4 linked regions of the Saccharomyces cerevisiae S288C genome follow. The gene in region 3 interacts genetically with the main gene of each other region. Each region holds a gene or a part of one and is shown on either strand. Other genes may lie near its edges. The genes, in order: DUR12, ATP5, FIS1 and LCB4.

Evidence for each region.
Region 1: mutations in FIS1 (region 3) and DUR12 together harm fitness more than expected from each alone (negative genetic interaction), as found in Saccharomyces cerevisiae (2 studies listed by BioGRID).
Region 2: mutations in FIS1 (region 3) and ATP5 together harm fitness more than expected from each alone (negative genetic interaction), as found in Saccharomyces cerevisiae (2 studies listed by BioGRID).
Region 4: mutations in FIS1 (region 3) and LCB4 together harm fitness more than expected from each alone (negative genetic interaction), as found in Saccharomyces cerevisiae (2 studies listed by BioGRID).

The regions. Positions count from the first base shown.
Region 1 is NC_001134.8:635,684-644,432, forward strand, and holds DUR12 (bifunctional urea carboxylase/allophanate hydrolase), read right to left. Parts: upstream 6,528-8,749; coding exon 1,020-6,527; downstream 1-1,019. Other genes in the region: FTH1 (Fth1p), read left to right, coding at 1-860; YBR209W (uncharacterized protein), read left to right, coding at 6,900-7,217. UniProt on the Saccharomyces cerevisiae protein: Hydrolysis of urea to ammonia and CO(2).
Region 2 is NC_001136.10:1,057,330-1,060,968, forward strand, and holds ATP5 (F1F0 ATP synthase subunit 5), read right to left. Parts: upstream 1,486-3,639; coding exon 847-1,485; downstream 1-846. Other genes in the region: SUR2 (sphingosine hydroxylase), read left to right, coding at 1-271; rRNA-processing protein BFR2, read left to right, coding at 2,298-3,639. UniProt on the Saccharomyces cerevisiae protein: Mitochondrial membrane ATP synthase (F(1)F(0) ATP synthase or Complex V) produces ATP from ADP in the presence of a proton gradient across the membrane which is generated by electron transport complexes of the respiratory chain.
Region 3 is NC_001141.2:240,397-244,005, forward strand, and holds FIS1 (Fis1p), read right to left. Parts: upstream 1,380-3,609; coding exon 912-1,379; downstream 1-911. Other genes in the region: ribonucleotide-diphosphate reductase subunit RNR3, read right to left, coding at 1-312; EFM4 (Efm4p), read left to right, coding at 1,631-2,320; YRB2 (Yrb2p), read right to left, coding at 2,365-3,348; ARC15 (Arc15p), read right to left, coding at 3,602-3,609. UniProt on the Saccharomyces cerevisiae protein: Has a role in mitochondrial fission. Has a role in outer membrane fission but not matrix separation. Required for targeting MDV1 to the mitochondria.
Region 4 is NC_001147.6:651,510-656,563, forward strand, and holds LCB4 (sphinganine kinase LCB4), read right to left. Parts: upstream 2,376-5,054; coding exon 501-2,375; downstream 1-500. Other genes in the region: GLN4 (glutamine--tRNA ligase), read left to right, coding at 1-223; YRM1 (Yrm1p), read left to right, coding at 2,701-5,054.

The sequences.
Region 1 (8,749 bases), on a different chromosome or scaffold from region 3:
CCGTTATTATTTCTGTCATGGGGTTGTTTTTTTTAAGAATGGGGAAGTTAAGAGAGAAGTTCAGAGTGAAATTAGCTTCTATCATTTATTCAAAGGACAATAATTTGCTGGGAAACAAAACCCAAAAAGGTGTGAAATTCAGTGAAAAGTACTCCTTCTTCATATTACCATTTATAACGACTTTGAGAGAAGGGTTAGAAGCTGTTGTATTCATTGGAGGTATCGGTATTGACCAACCACTATCCTCGATTCCCCTCTCTATGGTCCTTGCTACTGCAATCAGTACGGTGTTCGGTATTTTTTTCTTCAGGTACTCAAGTTCTCTTTCACTTAAGATATGCCTTGTAGTCGCCACCTGCTTCCTCTACTTGATCGCGGCTGGTTTGTTTTCCAAAGGTGTATGGCAACTTGAATTGCAAGACTACGTCAACAAATGTAACGGTCAAGACATGAGTGAAGTAGGAAATGGACCCGGTTCGTACGACATATCTCGTTCTGTTTGGCATGTTAATTGTTGCAATGGTGAAAAAGATGGAGGTTGGATGATTTTTACTGCCATTTTTGGTTGGACGAATAGTGCTACCGTCGGCTCTGTAATTAGCTACAACGCCTACTGGTTGGTATTAATATGCGCTTTGAAACTGCTAATGATAGAAGAAAAATACGGATATATCCCATATCTACCTATTAGCTGGCAAAAGAAACGTATTATGAAAAGATTAAGCATTGCCAAGGCATCGCTCGATCTCAAACATCATACTTCTGAACTCAACTCTAGCACATCAGAGCCAGACAGTCAAAGACGGTCCAAAGATAGTTCTGTGCCCCTAATAATTGATAGCAGTGGTTCAGCAAATTGAGAACATAACAAACACACGTAATAATTTTAAGCTTCTTTTCATACATTTTACAGTAAATACTATGTACATATATATTCGTCATTAAAAATAGCTAGAAAAAGGCATGCTATAAAGACTAAATGAGTGCTCCTTTGATTTTAGATGCCAACAAAAGGTAATTCATGCCAATGTCTCTATGACGGCCACTATGTCACCAGAATCAACCATATCACCATTGCCATGGCAAATCTTGATAATCTTACCCGATTTAGGAGCGGATATAATCATTTCCGCTTTCATGGCTTCAATAATTAGTAGCCCTTGACCTGCTTCAATAACATCTCCAACAGATGCTATGGATTTCCAAAAACGCCCAGAATACTCAGAATATACAATTTCTGCACCTTCTGGGAAGTCTTCTTCCTCGTCAGGTTTGACTGTGACACTTTCTTTTAGTTCAGAGTTTGCATTTTGAATCAATTTGGCAAATTCCTCTGCTCTTTCACCAAGCTGGCCCTCCTGGAATGCTGTGATGGAATCTTTGTTTGCGTTGATCCATCTCAAGTATTCTTGATGATCAAAAACACTCTTTTCGATATTGACTTTATAAACACCATTATCACAATCTTCAGTCATTTTATCCAAATCTTCTTCAGAAACTGGGTAAAATTCGACTTGGTCAAATGGGTTCATCAACCACGGAACCTCAGAAGATGCGGCCAGACATAGTTTGTCCCAAATTGGTATTGTTCTACCCACTAATTGGTACCCACCAGGACTGTTAGCAGCATATATGCACATATACATACCGCCAATACCGACTGCACCTCTTTCTGTATATGTTCTACTTGGGTTGTACTTGCTTCCCAAAAATCTGTGACGAGGATCTAATGGAACAGCACAAGGCGACCCTAGGAAGACATCACCTAAACCTAAAACCATAAATCTGGCAGAATACAACATATCATAAACTTCATTCCTTGAAATTCCATTTACATTGGCAATGAAATCAACGTTATTTGGCAACCATGGAGCAGACGAACGAATTGTTTCTTGATACCTTTGAACACATGCCAAAGTCTTCGAGTCTTCGAAAGCCATCGGTAATCTTATTATATTAGAAGTTATCTTCCAATTTTCATCAAACTGGATTTCTGTTTCATATGCCACCAATACTTTAAGCAATTCTTTTTGAGTGACTTTGTAACCATCAAATTCTATCAATACAGATCTAACACCTTGGGACATTTCAACAATACCAATAGTCTTATTCTTTTTCACAAGGGAGATCAGGCATTCAATTCTATAGGAAATATTAAAATTCATTTCATTATCACCGTATTCCACCAAAACATAACGATCACCTGCTTGTCTGTATACAACCTTTGGTGAAAGCTCATTCACTTTTTCCATTTGTGCAAGAATAGGCGTTTCGAATGATGGTAAAATTGAAACAGAGTCTAAGCGCCTTAACTTAGTACCATCCAATGATTTAATTGCAACATCCTGAGATTCCTTTAAGGATCTCGAGCTTTCGTAAGAAAGTGGCACAAACTGAATGGAATCACCGGGTTTAACCTGTCCAACCTTCCACAGTTCTGCTTCTGGGACAACAGCTTGACACACAAAACCACCTAAGGAAGGACCATCGCAAGTAATAATAACTGGCTCATCACCCGTGAAATTAATTGCACCCAGAGAATAAACGTAATCGTGAGTGTTTGAAGGATGCATACCACCTTCACCACCATTACTTCTTGCCCACTTAGGTTTAGGTCCAATCAAACGGACACCAAATCTATTGGAGTTGTAATGAACCTTCCACTTCTCACTGAAAAATTCTTCGATGGACTCAGGTTTAAAAAAATCTGGAGACCCATGGGGACCACATGTTACACCAATTCTCCATTCCTTAGTTTCGGAAATTTGAGGAATTAATGATTGAGGAATATTCTGTGGAAGGCACTCAACTGATTTATTTTCTTCATTGCTTGGTAAGAATAGTACGTCTCCAAGTTTTAGCACCCTTCCATTGTATCCACCGACATTTCCTAGAGTGAAAGTAGAATAAGAGCCCAAGTATTTAGGCACATCAATGCCACCCCTGATACCTAAGTATGCTCTACAGCCGCTTGTCAACTTGCCAATGGATAAAGTAGATCCCCTCTTAACTTCGACCGGTTTGTGTTGGGGAATTTCTTGGCCGTCTAATGTACATAGAGCGGTACCACCAGTAATGGCAATGACAGTTTCACAATGGAAAACGATGGATGGACCAGTCAACGTTACTTCAATGGCAGGAGTCCTGTAGTCATTACCAACAATTCTGTTCGCCAATCTAAACGAATATGCGTCCATTGGACCAGAGGGCGGAACACCAATTCTCCAGTACCCAACTCTACCGGGGTAATCCTGAATACTAGTGTGTGCACCGGGCAAAGTAATTTCGATGGCGGTAGGCTCATATTGATAAGAGTTCAAAATGTTTGTAGAAACTTTTGCTTTAGCAAAGAAATCACTGGTAATGATAGACTTCAGGTAGTCAATGTTAGTAATACATCCGTAAACTTTTGTTTCTTCTAACGCTTGATTTAACTTGGAAATTGCATCATCACGGTCTTTCCCATGAACGATAATTTTGGCCAATGTTGGATCATATTCGGGAGAAATATTAGTACCTTTCTTAACCCAAGTATCCACTCTTGCCCAATCAGGAAATTTCACATCGACAAGTAAACCTGGAGAAGGTCTGAAATTTTTCAATGGATTTTCAGCATATAAACGTGCCTCCATTGAAACCCCATTGACTTCTACCTTTGTAGAATCAAAATCAGGTGCATCATTAGCGGCAATCCTGATCATCCACTCGACCAAGTCTAACCCTGTAACCATTTCTGTTATTGGATGTTCAACTTGTAATCTTGTATTAACTTCTAAAAAGTAAAACTCGTCCTTTTTCTCATCGTAAATAAATTCAACCGTACCAGCACACTTGTAATTCAATAAAGATCCCAAACTTTCAGCTGCCTTTCTTAACGCCAACCTCGTCTTTTCTGGCAAATTTGGTGCAGGAGTTTCTTCGATAACTTTTTGGTTACGACGCTGTAAAGAACAATCACGTTCGCCCAAAGCAATGGCCTTACCAAAACCATCTCCCATAAGTTGGACTTCAACATGCCTGGCATTTTCGATAAACCGTTCCAGAAATACACCAGCGTCACCGAAAAATGTTTCACCTTGATGTTTCACAGTCTCAAAAATATGCTCGATGTCCTCTTCAGAATCGACTTTCTGCAAACCAATACCACCGCCACCAGCAGTTGACTTCACCATAACTGGGTATTCCAATTCCGCTGCGACTTTCTTAGCCTCTTCAACTGATGTGATAAGCAAAGAGCCTGGCACTAGAGGAACGCCAGCCTTCTGTGCAATCTGTCTAGCAGAATGTTTTAACCCTAAACCTCTGATAATATCTCCCGAAGGACCAACAAAGGTAATGCCAGCACTGGTGCACGCATCAGAAAAATCCGCATTTTCCGACAAGAAACCATAACCAGGAATAATGGCCTGTGCATTAGTTTGCTTAGCGGCATCTATGATCTTATTCATGTCTAAATAAGTTTGGGCTGCGGTTGTGCCATGAAGGGGTACAGAAACATCTGCATCAGTAACGTGTTGAGAATATTTATCAGGGTCGGAATAAACTGCAACTGATCTAATACCCAATTTTTTTAATGTCTTGATAATACGAACGGCAATTTCACCTCTATTGGCAATTAACACGGTATCAAATAACTTCTTCTTTTGGGACTCTTTTTTCTTCAACATTTCAAAATATGCTCTAAATCCACCATACTTTGTGATATCAACTGTACCTTTGGCTTTGTAACCAGATTCTTCACAAATAAAGGATTTGATCCATTCACCAGATTCTAACTCCACTGAACCTATTCCTAATGGTTCAGGAACCATGGAAATAAAAGCACCGAACAGTTCTTTTGGAACACTGTACACTTCTAATTCGATTTGAGAGCCATTGCTATCTTGAACTCTTCTCAAACCAGGTTTTAAAACTGGTCCATTTTTGGGCAAAGCAAAAAGCTGGTAAGCTTTTGATGTTTTTGTTGTACATAAATATGTTGCATTGACCTTTTCCAATTGCCAATGTAGAGGCAGACCCTTAAGATGTGCACCGACAACAGCCAATTTTATGGACGTAGATGGGTCATAGTCTGGTCCCACTAATTGATCGTTTGCTGGCTTTACTGAAGAAGAGGTAAAAGTACCGTATGTTCTGGAACCGTTGGGGAATATATTTTGGAAATAGCGGTTAGCCAACTCTAATAGTGCGTAATCTGTGAATTTTTTACCGATTAAAGTAATACCATTTGGCAAACCATCGTCTCGGAACCCTGCGGGAACAGCAAGGGCTGCCAAATCTGCCAAGTTGACAAAATTAGTCCATGTGCCTTGTCTTGAATTGACTAGGACTGGTTCATCCGCAACTTGTTGCATAGTAGGATTTAAAGGACATGTGGGCACACACAATACATCGACTGATTCGAGAAGTCGTCTCACTTTTTGCAAGATGCCTTGTCTTTTGTATTCAAAACTGAAGCAGTCTACTGCACTGTATTTCTTGGCCCCTTCTATAATTGAAATAACAGTAGGGTCCAAAGATTCCTTTGGTGGTTTACTGTCCAAAAACGATTGAATAGCTTGATAACGCTCGGCCACCCAAGTACCTTCGTATAAACAGCGAGCTAACTCTAAAAGAGGCTCAAAATCAATTTCTATGACGTTAGCGCCCGTTCTTGATAGATTTTCGACAGCATTGGAAAACAGTACAGGATTCTTGGTTTCACCATACCATGGGATATTTTTAGGAATAGCAATCGTTACATTGCTTGAAAATTTTTTCAAAGGGTTGGAAACATAGGGTCTAGAATATTCATCATTATCAGGATCTGGCTGGCACATGATGCGGAAGCAGCGTTCAGCATCACTTAGGTTTAATGCAAAGATGGAGACGCAGTCTAAAGATTTACAAGCGGGAACTACACCTTGACAGGAAAAGACGCCCTTTGTTGGCTTTAGGCCAATCAGGTTGTTCAAGGCGGCTGGGACTCTACCAGAACCTGCTGTATCAGTACCCAATGCAATTGGTACGATACCTCTGGCGACCACCGATGCTGACCCAGCGGAGGAACCACCAGATACATGCTCTTTGCTAAAAGCGCAAGGTGTTTTCCCATATGGAGACCGTGTGCCGACTAATCCTGTGGCAAATTGGTCCAAGTTTGTCTTACCCACGATTATCGCACCTGCATTTCTTAGTAGTTCTACTACTTTAGAGTCTTTGGAAGGCTCATATGCAAAGGATGGACATGCAGCGGTGGTGGGTAGACCTCTAACGTCGATGTTGTCCTTAACAGCAATAGGGACACCGTAGAGAGGTAGAGTTTCTTTATTTTCTCTGCTCTTTAAAATTTGGAATTGGTGCAGTAAATTTTCCTTTGAAATTAGCGATATCCACGCATTATCGACTGGCGCAACATTTTGAGAGTCTAGTAGTGATTCAAGAAGCCTTAGTGAAGCCTGGGAGCTTGATGACTTGTGGAAATCAATCCAGTCTTGGATTGACCAACCTAACGATATTTCAGCAGTTGTATCGGAACTAACTGTCATTTTTTAATCAAAACTGAAATTTATTGTGACTATAAAAAAGATATTTCTATTTTTTATCTTTTATATTAATGTAAATTGAAATTTGGTGTATATCAGCTGCTCCACTGATATATTAATATAAGCTTATAAAAACTTGAGCCTATATGATCCTAGAAAAAAAAAGCTTAGCTAAGAGAGCCTGATATTCAGAAGTGAGCGAGTATACAAATCTCACACCTCATCTGCTCTAGTGTTTAAATACAAACATTCAATTTCCAACAACGTCTAACAAAGCTCGATTCAAATTAAGAAGCAGGAAAAAGCAAAACATCTGCGTGTCTTATCTCAATGGCTTGCGCTAACTGCGAACAGAGTGCCCTATGAAATAGGGGAATGAACGCATATTGGTTTCATTATAGAGCGTCAATCAAGAAAGAGGCACCAAACTATAAACGCACATTTCTCGGTAGGGCTAGGAACGCTTTCCTGCTTATCTTATCTGAAGCTTATTTATTGTTCGTTTTTTTATCTTATCTGATAAGGGGAAAAAGCCTGGAAAAGCGCGTAAATGATGAGGCGAAATGCAGCCAAAGATGCGTGCCGTTGCAGTTAGCTAACAACCTGGCGTTCGGCGATCGCCATAAGAGATCTGCCAATTTTAAAAAGGGTATTGCCAATACACATAGTAGCCTTATCTGCAGCAAGCCATAGGACTAATGTGTTCGACGTCGTTGGGGAAAAAAAGCAAAGAACATGTTGCCTTTGAGGAGACTGCAGCAAGAAAAAAAGTTCAATAAGGATTGCAAAAAAAAAAAGAAGCTCGCACTCAGGATCGAACTAAGGACCAACAGATTTGCAATCTGCTGCGCTACCACTGCGCCATACGAGCTTTCTATTACATGTGGGAAGACTAATATAGATAGTATAGTCAATTATACGAAGTAGTGCCAGCCCCACATATAAGAGAACGGTGGAATATTTGAACTGTATGCAAAGAAGTTTCAGCGGGGACCTTTATTTTAGAAAAAGCGAATAAATGTCGCTCATTTGTTTAAACGGTATTTGTTGGACTGAGGGTTGCTTCCATACGGAAATGCTAACGAAGAGGATGTGCTGAATTTTGCTATGTTTGGAATGGGCTCCTCCATCTGGGAATGATAATCATTTTTATTATTGTGTGTTCAAATACACTTACACATCTGTTTTTTCGTGGTAAGGAATCCGAGAATCACATGAGGTTTGGGATAGTTGCTGGCAATCAATGAATGACATCAGATAAAACGAAAGGAGAAATAATATGTTGATAATTAGAGGTTAAAAATTAGTATTAATGAAGAAATAATTACTGATCTTCTTATACTAAATAAGAGAGGTATATAAAACACACGCCGATTGGTCATATTAATCATGACCAATATAATAGTGATTCCGGTAGTTACTATACATTGATGTGACGACTCATATTCCTCATATATGTACCTACCATAACATGTTCAACTAATAGGTCTTTAACACAGCTTCAGTATTGTCTGAGCTTCTCGTTTAACATTCCTTCTGCAATAGGCGCAATCACACTTAAACGTATACGAGTTGTACATTAATATACGATGTAAGCATTGAATTGTTACCATAGCAACTCATGTCACTATTAATTACTCTCGTTCCAACATAATATTATTATGGAGTAATATCTATTCCCTTTCGTGGATTCCAAGATTCTCGAGGTATATTTCCAGTATATTTTGTATACCTGATATTATAGCCTTTAGCAACAACGAAATCAACATTTATCTCAAATTTCACCTGTTTCTCATTTTTAAGCGCCTAGCCCATCTAATCATCTTAACTATTCATCAGGGAAAATTAATATACATTGTGCTCTTAATGTTTCGAAAAATAATCAAAATCAATAGAAATAGCGTTTTGCTACTAACAAAGCCCTTTGATCCAAAGTTGGCTTCTGAGAACTTAACATTTCAGTAGAACAAGCCTCAAGCTTAAATGAAGAATGGCAAAGTAAATGAGACCTCTCTCTCCATATTTTGCTCAGAGCCTGTTAAGGAAAACAACACCGCACATTAGTGTGAAAAACTTTCCCCGCAAGCTGTTGGAAGATGAATCATTTATTATCTTTTGACTGTTAGCTACATTACTAGCTGTTATCAATCTCTCAGACGATTATATGAATATTGAGATAGTTGTTGGGATTAACTTATTGTTAGAGGCTATAGCATCAGATATAC
Region 2 (3,639 bases), on a different chromosome or scaffold from region 3:
ATGGCTTTTCCCTAATAACGCTGTCTATCACGATATCCACCACCAGCAATTTGGTATCAAGACGAACTTTGCTCAACCATTTTTCACTTTCTGGGACAATTTGTTCCAAACTAACTTTAAAGGGTTTGAAGAATATCAAAAGAAGCAAAGACGTGTCACCATCGACAAGTACAAAGAGTTTTTGCAAGAGAGAGAATTGGAAAAGAAGGAGAAACTCAAAAACTTCAAAGCTATGAATGCTGCTGAAAATGAAGTAAAGAAAGAGAAATAACCCTTTTGCATACCTCCCGTTCAATTGCTGGGTAAAGGCAATGTCTCCGACTTCCCACGTTTGTATTTATTATCCATTTATATACATCAAGACATATTATTAAGTGTATAGGCGTGACTTTGACTATATATTTGATTTGTAACGAAAGAATACATCAAAATTCAACTATGAAATGGTTATTATTGTGCATGCACATCTTGAATTATCAAAAAGGTCTTAAATGTTCTTCGGACTTTCTTGAAATCTTCGAAAACTGATGAGAATTCTTCATTATTTTTTTTTTTCTTCTTTTATTATTTTTTATGTTTATTCCATATATACACTTATAATTTTTTTTTTTGCGATTAATATAAGTTTGCCTGGATACACGAACATATATATGATTAAAATGGTTGTCTCGAACAAAAAAATTCACTTTTTAGAGGGGTTTCTTATTTATTCGTATATGTACGTAATTTTGATGTTTAGGAAAAATTCACGGAAAAGAATATATATTTGAACAGAATCAAAAATTAGGAGGGAGGCAAAGAAAGTAACATCAAACGAGTTGAGCATATCCAACTATATTATTAACGTTAAATGCTGTCCTCTAAGACCTTATTCAGTTTTTGAATCTTTGTAGAAATGCTTAAGTCAACAGTCTTGTCACCAAGTTCTACAATCAAACCACCCTTAATCTCTGGCTTAACCACGTTTTCCAGCTTCAAAGATTTACCTTGCCCCACCAATTTGGAGGCGCTCAAAGCTTTTTCAATCCTCTTGAAAGATTTAGGATCCAATGGTTCAGCACTAGTCACTGTACCTTTAAGTAACCCGTTGTGAGCATCGTTTAAAACGCCAAAGTCAGACGCAATTTTTTCAAAACATCCCAGTCTGTTATTTTCGGAAAGAACCTTCAATAGGTTAACGACATAACCATCCAAATTCTTGTGAGTCTCCACGATGGCATCAATGACAGAATTTCTGTCCTTCAATGACAATGCAGGATTCAGTAATAAGTGACCTAATTTTGGATTCTTTTTGACTGTGCTTTCAACTTTTTGCAAAGATTGAAAGGCAGCATCAATAGAGGAGTTCTTTGCAGCGGCCTGATATAAAGCTGTTGCGTAAGTGCCCTCAACACCGAACAATCTCACCGGTGGGGGAGCAGCAGCTTTGGAAGCAGCAGCTCTTAAGCTTGATGCAAATGACCTGGTAAAGACTCTATTAAACATGATTGTCCACGGTTTAAAAATAATGCGGTAACTTGCTAATCGGTTCTTACTCTGCGGAAAAATATCTCAATGCCACAGTAGCCTGCTTAAATTTCCAAGTTGACTGAATTTTGTTTTCAATGAGATAAAAACTAGAAATACTGTACACAAAGTTAACAATTGGCGTTTGAAATTGTTCCTAGATAATTGAAAGTTTTACTATCTCGCCAAAAGATCACTTCATTATCTTTAATTCCTTGTTTTTCCCACCCGGGCCCGGGTAAATGATATTTCAAATATCAGCATCTTATTGGCCAGCACCGTCTCTCGAAAGTGTCCACTTTATGACGACGGCATAAAATATAACGATTTATTGGACGTAAGTAGTTTTATAAGTTACTAAACCAAGATTATTCCGGCAAAAAAATGAACTTTAAGAGATATCTGAGCGCTTCGTATTTCTTGGTAGTCCCTTATAATGTACTACATTTATGTAGACCAGGTTTGCAGCCAGATCTTACGGGAAAGAGATTTTACGGCTCCCAGTCCGAGCTTTTCCATATACTACTCTAATATACAATGCATTCTTAGATTTCTTAACTGCTGCATATGCTGTCTTTGGTCCTTTGCAAGCCTATTACTGCGGATTTAAGTTTTTTCCACTGATCGTTACCCGAATTTATGGGTTCTGAAAAATTAGAAGATGGAAAATTTTTCAATACGCGATGAGATGAGATAATTGTATATATGTAGTCGCATCTTGATAGGTATGCAGCGTACCATACATTGAGTAACAATAAGCACTGTTACCAATAAATATAGAGCAAAAAAAGATGGAAAAATCACTAGCGGATCAAATTTCCGATATCGCCATTAAACCGGTCAATAAAGACTTCGATATTGAAGATGAGGAAAATGCATCTTTATTTCAACACAATGAAAAAAATGGAGAAAGTGATTTAAGCGACTATGGAAATAGCAACACAGAAGAAACCAAGAAGGCGCACTATTTGGAGGTGGAAAAGTCTAAGTTAAGAGCAGAAAAAGGTTTAGAACTAAACGATCCAAAATATACAGGTGTTAAAGGTTCAAGACAAGCATTATATGAAGAAGTTTCCGAGAATGAGGACGAAGAAGAAGAAGAAGAAGAGGAAGAAGAAAAAGAGGAAGATGCTCTTTCATTCAGGACAGATTCTGAAGATGAAGAAGTAGAGATTGATGAAGAAGAATCAGACGCGGACGGCGGTGAAACGGAGGAGGCTCAACAGAAAAGGCATGCACTATCGAAACTAATTCAACAAGAGACTAAACAAGCTATTAACAAACTGTCTCAATCAGTTCAAAGAGATGCTTCGAAGGGTTATTCCATTTTACAACAGACAAAATTATTTGACAACATCATTGATTTGAGAATAAAACTACAAAAAGCTGTAATTGCAGCAAATAAGCTCCCATTAACTACAGAGTCCTGGGAAGAGGCTAAAATGGATGATTCAGAGGAAACAAAGCGTTTGCTGAAGGAAAACGAAAAACTGTTCAATAATTTATTCAATCGGTTGATAAATTTCAGAATAAAATTCCAACTTGGCGATCATATCACTCAAAATGAAGAGGTGGCGAAGCATAAATTGTCCAAAAAAAGATCTCTCAAAGAGCTTTACCAAGAAACTAATAGCTTAGACTCAGAACTAAAAGAGTACAGGACTGCCGTATTAAACAAGTGGTCTACCAAAGTTTCTTCTGCATCAGGTAACGCTGCTTTATCATCTAACAAATTCAAAGCTATCAACTTACCTGCAGATGTACAAGTCGAAAACCAATTATCCGATATGTCCCGTTTGATGAAAAGAACAAAGTTGAACAGGAGAAACATAACGCCTTTGTATTTCCAAAAAGACTGTGCTAATGGCAGGCTACCAGAATTGATTTCTCCCGTTGTCAAAGATAGTGTTGATGACAATGAGAATTCGGATGATGGGCTTGATATCCCGAAAAACTATGACCCAAGAAGAAAGGATAACAATGCCATTGACATTACCGAAAACCCATATGTTTTTGATGACGAAGATTTTTACCGTGTTTTACTAAACGATTTAATTGACAAAAAGATTTCCAACGCTCACAATTCTGAAAGTGCAGCAATTACAATCACCTCAACTAATGCTCGTTCGAACA
Region 3 (3,609 bases):
CCAGTCGTGTAAATCCTCAATAACTTTGGAGAATTGCTTTGTGGTTTGCTTATGTAAGTTAGAGATGGCGATTCTAGCGGCTAGAGTGGCATAATCAGGGTGCACAGTGGTCATGTATGCACATGTTTCAGCTGCAAGATTGTCCAGCTCAACGGTAGTAACACCGGAGTACACACCAGAAATAATACGTTGGGTTACCTTAACAGCATCAATACGGTTTGGGTCTAAACCGTATGACAAACGGGTGATACGGGAGGTAATTTTATCGAATTGAACGGGCTCTTTGCGGCCGTCTCTTTTAATAACGTACATTTGTGTGGGAGTATTTGATTTATTGCTGCTGCTATTCTTGCTTGTCATATTTATTTCAACTTGGATATGAGATGAGAGAAAGGCAAGGAAGAAGGCAAAAGAAGGCAAAATAGCAGTGCGTTTATATACGTTTTGCAGCAGAACACGAAACAATATAAAGAACGCTGACACGAAAAACGAAACGCGTCAGCATCTCACAATACAGTATTACGATTTAACAATAGACTATTGTTTTTTTCCCATCTTGTCGTTTGGTCCTCGCCATGGCAACCGGGTTTTTGCCCCTTTGAGCAGCGCCTAGGTGTCGTTGCTGCGACAACCACGAAAAAAAAAAAAAAAAAAAAACAAAAGAACAACGGCACGCAATGTTGCTGTGACAACCGTAGGCAGATAACTTGGCTTTTTTTACTACTTTAGGAAAATTAGCAGCCAAGAACGAGGGCTTGCTCTGCTACCTAGTTCAAACTGAAACAAGCCTTCACTTTCTTTTCTTTTCTTTTTTTTTTTATCTAACAACTGAAGATTAAATGATAAATGTTTACGCGTGCGTGCGATTCATTCTTATGTATGTACGTATGTGCTGATTTTTTATGTGCTTGTTACCTTCTCTTGTTTCTTAAGAAGAAACTAGCCACGGCCACAGCGCCGGCTAGTACGCCTCCAGCGACGACAACACCCTTGAGTGTTTCCTTCTGGATCTTATCCTCTACCATACTCTTCAAAGCGCCCACCTGCTTGTTATTACGCTCATGCTCAAATAAAGTGTCTACATATCTCTTCGCCATAGAGTATTCACCGAGTTTGTAGCAACCTATGGTCAGATAATATAGGCATTCTCGTCTACGGGACTCGGCCTCTTTGTAAATGTCTGTGAGGATTTTCACACCAAGCCTTTCGTCATTCACGTCAGTGGATTTGATCAGCCCCCATGCGTAGTTAAACCTTGACTGTATGGTAGCGGTGGGCCCCCCCTCGGAGACGACTTGCTGGCGCAGAATCTCCAGCTGCTGCGGATAGAGTGGTTCGTATGCGTCCTTAAGAGTTGGCCAAAAATCTACTTTGGTCATACTTATGTTGTATGGCTGTGCTCTGATCTGTGCTTCTATGTGCCGTTTTTACGCAAGGTATATGATAACTTCTGTGCAGAATAGTGGCAATGGCAGCTTTGCTTTGAAAGGGGTCCAGCCTAGCCCGCTTGCGGTGTTCCGGCATAAATGCGCAAAAAGATTGGTTCATGAAAAGAAGTGAAAAAAAATCGATGAGCTCAGCTCTTAAGAACGGTATTATGGAACGAACTCAACCCGAAAAGGTAGTACAGATGCAGGGCACGGCAGATTTGAGCACTTCGAAACTTGGTACGAAAAAATACTGGGATGAACTGTATGCCCTGGAGCTGGAGAATTTCAGGCGGAATCCGCAGGATACCGGGGACTGTTGGTTTAGCGATAGCGATGCTGAACAAAAGATGATTGATTTTCTGGTAGATAACATTGGTGCGTACAGAATTTCTGAGAATGCTTCTGTTGTAGACCTCGGTACAGGTAATGGACACATGTTATTTGAACTGCATCAAACGGAATTCCAAGGGAAACTGGTCGGGATAGACTATTCTGAGGAAAGCGTCAAACTCGCTAGTAATATAGCCGAGGCCACCGGTGTTGACAATTTCATCAGTTTCCAGCAAGCAGACATCTTTAGTGGTGACTGGAAGCCGGGAAAGTATGACATTGTGTTGGATAAAGGGACCCTAGATGCCATTTCATTGAGTGGCATGAAGATCAACGGTAAACTTGATGTAGTCGATGTATACGCCGGAGTAGTGGAAAGGATTTTGAAAAAAGACGGTATTTTCTTGATCACTTCTTGTAATTTCACACAAGATGAACTAGTAAAGATCATAGAGACTGATAATTTGAAAATGTGGAAAACAATAAAATACCCTGTTTTCCAATTTGGCGGGGTCCAGGGTGCGACCATATGTAGTGTAGCATTTGTTAAACAAAACTGATTTGTTTTTATCTTTGATTTATTTTTAACGTTATTTCTCTTTACTTATTTAGGAACGGATTTAACTATAATGTTATACAATTCATCCGTGGTTTCCTTCTTACCAGTCTTTATGGCGTACTGTGCAGGATCACCGTTATCATCTACTGCTAGTAATCTTATGAATTTTTCGCTTTGCAAAGAACCTGTAAATCCTTTTTGCACAGTGAACCCCTTGACCAGTTGGATGTTTAAAATGACTTTTAAGATACCACGAGACCTCATAACAATACGCGTCTTCTCGACGTCGTCCTTACTTTTATTGATTTTGATGATACCAACACCTCTTTCCTTCCAGCCTTCTTTTATGTTGGAAAGTTGGTACAGCTTCGCATTGACTTGATATATGCACTCCTCAGACTCTTCACCAGACTTGACTTCCTGTTTCTGCAATTTGAGGGGTTTTGGTTTGTCTTTTGTATCTTCTGAGGCATTCGCTAGTTGTTCAGATCCACTATGGACTTTATCTTTGTCAACATCAGTAGCTTTCTTTTCACTTTCAGAGTTATTTTCTGTTTTGTTTTTCAGTATGTTGAAGCCGCTGCCAAATGATAAACCTGAACCAAATGCAAATGGCTTCTTTGTTTTGCTGTCAGAGGCTGGTAAACTTTCAGTACTGGTAGTTGCATCTCCATCTTTCGTGTCCTTTTTGGCAACACCAAACCCAGTTCCAAATTTAGATGCGGCACCAAACACGAATTTATCCTCCTTTTTGTCATCTTCCACAATACCAGATTCTACGGTCTTTCCGTCGTCAACCTTGATCTTCTTATGCGATGGTTCTTGGTCTTTTTTACCTTCCTCCTTTTTCTCCTCATCATTTTTATTGGGTGCTTCTGATTTGTCACTCGTTTCTTCCGCTTGTTCATCCTGATCTTTTTCCCTCGGTCTCTTAGGAGTTCCATCTAGTTTATCGATAGGATTTTCAACTGCAGTTTGTTTCACCTCAGAATTTTCCCTGGCTGCATTGCCACCATTGGTCTCACTCATGCTCTCAAAGTTTATGCGTACTTGTTTTGTGCAAATTGATTTGTTGACATTTTGGTTTGAGTAGCAACTGAGCTTTTTAAAATCCAGGCATTTATATCTTCAACCTCGCCAAACAATGTCAATTTTTTTAAAAAAAAACTCAATACCTACATCACCGCGAAATGCCTGAAGTAAAAGCATATAACAAACGCGACCCTTAAAATTACGTATATATATGTATATTTCTTTATACTAAGTTTTACTGGGCAGAGTATCATACAG
Region 4 (5,054 bases), on a different chromosome or scaffold from region 3:
ATCTGTCATGGAACATAACTTCGGGGACGTTGTCAAGAACAGTCCATGGGTCGTTGATTCTGTTAAAAACTCGGAATTTTATGTTGAAGAAGATAAGGATTCCAAAGAAGTGTGTAGATTCCAAGCTATGAGAGTAGGTTATTTCACTCTGGATAAAGAGAGTACGACTTCTAAGGTTATTTTGAATAGAATAGTTAGCTTGAAGGACGCAACTTCCAAGTGAATGATTTAATGTGCATATATGTATATATTTATATATATATCCTATTGGTTGAAAATGATGTAATAGTGTAAATTTTTTAATTATATTAGATAATAAAGACCAACTCATAATATTGTTACGTATTAATGATATATAACTGGGGATGTATAATTATAATGAAAACAAAAATGGAATATAAACCATACTCCGATGATAGAAACATTATATCGCCTTTTCTTTTCGATGTAGTATTTCTTTTTACAAAAAAATCATTTTTGAAGGAAAATATAACGTTAATCTACATGGATTCAAACTCTGTATCGATATATCTACCATTCCTTAGCAACGTCTTGCATAACATGGGCATTATTTCCACTTGCAAGGGTTCCAAAGGAAACTTTTCACCATCCACTGAAAATAAACCTGACTCCACTTTTGGTATAATCTTATAAGCCAATATTTTTGAGTGAATAACTTCTGGCTCTAATACATGAGAACCTTTATCCAAGGATAATAAAATTGGTGTCATTCTTGTCACTGGGATTCTTGCATCCGTTATGACTAAATCAATGGTACCATCCGCTGGTAAAGCAGCGGGAAAAAATTTGGTGTCCTTAGCAATATACGGCATTTTCCCTGTGTAAAAGATTGTTAAGTTATCAGTTAGCTCTGAATCCATTTTCTCCCAGTCTCTAGGTACTGGTTCCGTCATCGGATACTTTAATTTAAAGTTGTCCTCGTTGAGAAAATTCGGTGAAAGTTCATCTTTTGTACTGTTGTTGATATTGTTTTTAGATAGTAAATCCGGCGAAGAGTTTGGGCTAGGATTTGGTTCGAAGGTTAAACATCCTTTGTTTTTATCTTTATTTTCTAAGAAATGAACTTTTAATTCCTTTTTAGATTTGGCAGCATATTTGACGAAAACTTCGCAGGGATATTTCTTACCTTGGATAATGTTGAATGCTACACCCAAATTAAACCTAACGGGACCCATCCATCTGATGAATTCAGTGTTAATATCAGATTCTGCAATAACGCCGTACGTCTGACTCAAAAAGGATAATCTTGGCCATTCGTTCATATAAGAAGGTTGGGAACAACACATTAAGTCTATTCTTGTTTCAATGGATTTGACAAGGCACAGAGCGGCGTACGATGGGTTATTTGTCCAATGACATGAAATGCTCATAGCATTTCCTGAACCGCAAGGTAGCTGAGTTACGGCTAGTTTATTGAACGCATCCACTCTGTCGGGTCTTCTATAAAGCCCATTAATTACTTCGTATGGAATACCATCACCCGAGGCACATGCAATGGTATCGTATTTGCTGATATCTAAATCTTTGGCAATATCGATGGCGTGACGGGCATATTTTGTGTATGCAATTTCTATTTTGCAGCCACTTTCCACTAGTATTGGCCTTGCTTTTGTCAGGAATAAATTTTTAGCAGTACCTTTACCACCGTGGGGATTAATAATGACTAATATCGATCTGTTTCTCTTGGAATTTTCATAACTTTTTTCCAGGATTTCTTCCACAGTACCAGAAGAAATGTTCTCCTCTCCGGTATTTGCTCTCGATTTCCTAGAAACGTGATCTATTAACAAGGTTAATTTTTGTGGTATAACATCATGGCCCTTGGGTACAGCAAAAGTTAACTCAATTAACTGTTGATTATCTTTTATCCCTAAAGATGGTGAGTTATCCTGTGAATCATCGGGAGACACCTTCACAGTGTTCGTTTTTGTATCCCACTTGTCTTTTTTGGGAAATGACTGTGATTCGCTTACAGGAGCCTTATCATTGCTCAAACTATGATTCTCAACGTCGTCATTTTCAGACGAAGAACTCAGATTTTCCGTTTGAAAAGGATTCGAAGAAATTTTGCCATTATTGAAGCCTTTCTGACCGACATTCACATATTTTGCGTTCAAAATTCTGTTGAACGGAATGGTAGTATTAAGAGGCAACAGTTCCAGGGAATCATCCTCATCAAAAGAACCTCCATCAGAGCTCAAAGTTCCATCATCCAGACAGGACAAGCAGCTCAACAAGGATAAAGAATCTCCGCTTCTGAGTTGACCATGCTTATTGAACATATGGTGTGATTGCGATTTGATCAATACACCTTCATCGGTCAAGATAGCCCTAAGTTTTTTCTGCACCACCATTATCTATAGTAGATTCTTCGCGTACTTTTCGCTGCTAGACTTTTGTGTTCTTGATAACCTCCAGGATCAGTACGTTAGACAAGGGAAAGTATCAGATGGGTTAAACACGAATTTTCACCTTCTTGTATGCCTTTCTTCCGTTAAATCATCTTTTTGCTTCAAGACCCTTGCAGCACGTTTTTTTCAGGCTCGGCAGTAGGGTGACACCCATGGTTTACAAGGCGATAAAATGACAAATGCCAGGTGGTATTGTAATAATAACGGCAAGAGTATAGAAAGTCAGAGGGGAAAGCACATTGAATGGTCCTGGTAAAGGGAGTTGTTAATGAGTAAGCGGGGTAGTTTACAGGATAGAGCTTCCCCATCGGAGGAAACTGTAAAGAAGGCGCAGAAGAGACGGAAACCAATAAAGTCATGCGCTTTTTGTAGGAAAAGGAAATTACGTTGCGACCAGCAGAAGCCAATGTGCTCAACTTGTAAGACGAGGGGTCGTTCTGGTTGCCTGTATACAGAGAAATTCACCCACAAAATAGAAACAAAAGAGTTATTTGGCAGTACTCCGAACATTGAACTGTTGAAAAGGATTGAGGATTTAGAGAAAAGACTAGATGACAAAGAGTTGACGGAGAAGGATGTAGCGCTTAGTACGAGCCCATTTAGGAACCCTTACGCTAATTTTTACTATTTACAATGTAAAGGCTCGGGAAGAAGAATAGTATATGGTCCTACATCTTTGAGAACGCATCTCTCAAACGATGATAATCGGTTTGTAAACACGTATAATCAGCTCTGGTCCAAAGTGAAAATCGAGAGAAACAGATGGAAGGCTAGGCATAAATGGACAATGAAGCCAGAAACTCAACTCCTAGAGGGACCGCCGTTAGAAAAGACAGGCTCTGACATCTTGCAACAGGTTTGTAACGTTTTGCCATCTTTTGAACAATCGTCAAAGATTATAACAGACTTTTTCAATACTGAACTGGAAACTAATGAAGTTAGTGAAGTATTAGATAAAACCAAAATAATAAACGATTTCACTTCCTCGTTTCTTCCAAGTGACGAACTGTTACCCAACGGTGAAAGGCGGATTGAAAAGTTATTACCATCGACAAAGAAAAACTATTATAAGATTGGAGTTATTTTGATGATACTGTGTATTCGCCATTTCTACAAAAATACTCCGGAAGAGATAGAGAAATTTCTCATCATGCTGACGGGACTGTCAACAGCTAAAGTATATTTCATTGAACGCGCTCAATTTCTCTTATTGAAATACTATCATCGAGAACTAATTTGGGCGTGTGGAGACGATTCGCATATGATTAGTCTAGTTGACTTATTATGCAGCACGGCAATTATGCTGGGTTTACACTTGAATATAAGAGAAATATACAAAAATCAAGAAAATATTGTGGGGAGTATGGAAAGTTTGGAAAATTTGTGGGTTTGGATTATATTATCAGATTTCAATGTTTCTTTAAATATTGGGAGATGTTTGGCGATTAACTCATCCTATTTTCAAGTCGATGAATGCGAGAATGGTGAGAGGTTGCCTAAAAATACAAACAATTATTCATCGACGGTTTTTTTCGATCAGTCAAATTCCTGCATGGGCAAGCTTAAAAGGTTTTTAAGATTAGCTCGACCAATGCTAGATCAAATTTATGATAGAAGCGCATTTCCAGACTTAGCCGAAAATTGTAAAAAACTAAGAAACTTTGTAGAGACTGAATTCCACCCAATATCATATTACACTGACAGTGAGTTAATATCTAAAGTTCCTTTGTGCGAGATTAAAGTGCTTGCGCAGGTTTTGAATTTGTTGTTGACGTTTTATTCCTTGAGGTATTTGATTTACAAGGAAAAAAGCGTTGTTTTAGAGAACAACATCCTGCAAACCATTTTGGTCTCTTTTTCCCTTGTCATCAATACGACCATACTGTGTTTTAACCTAGATGAGAAGCATTTTCCTGAGTTTTTTGATCATAATTGCGTTCATTTACCGCCATTTATGGCCTTGTCTTTAGTATACACAAATTTCCTTTTTCCTAGGGCCTCTACTGGCTTTTGTGCGTTTTTGTATCATAAGTTAACTCTTTTTGAGAAGGGCTATTATCTATCATCCAACATCAAAGATCAAGAAGTCACAGATTGGGATTTGTCAACCTTGAATATCCCGTTGGATAAAGCTATGAACTTACTTACTGCTTTCAAAATACATTCAGATATATTTGCTAAATGGTCTAATGATAACAACAAGCAGTTAAGAATTATTATGGCTCGCTCTTATACATTTGTTATCAACATCGCCCTGGAAAGCATATATAGAGCTGTTTTGGAAAAAGTAATCAAATATAGAACCGAGGTCGAAAACACATGGTTACAACAACTCCAAGACGAATTGAATGGGTCCTATTCGCTCACTGACAATGTAAATACTCCAATCGATCCCAGTTTAAGTGACCTGGGCGTCACAAGCGCCAGTCCATTGGCGGGAAATTCTCCAGGATTACCCCCGGAGGAAGTGCGAAATAACAGCGAAAACGCTTCGCATAACAATGAAACTGGGCCAATTGAGACTGAACTGGCACAGACAATATCCAACGAATTTTGGACGGCGTACAACCTTGGCTGGGAGGAACTAATGAGTCAGCCAGATTATAAATATTTATTTGATAC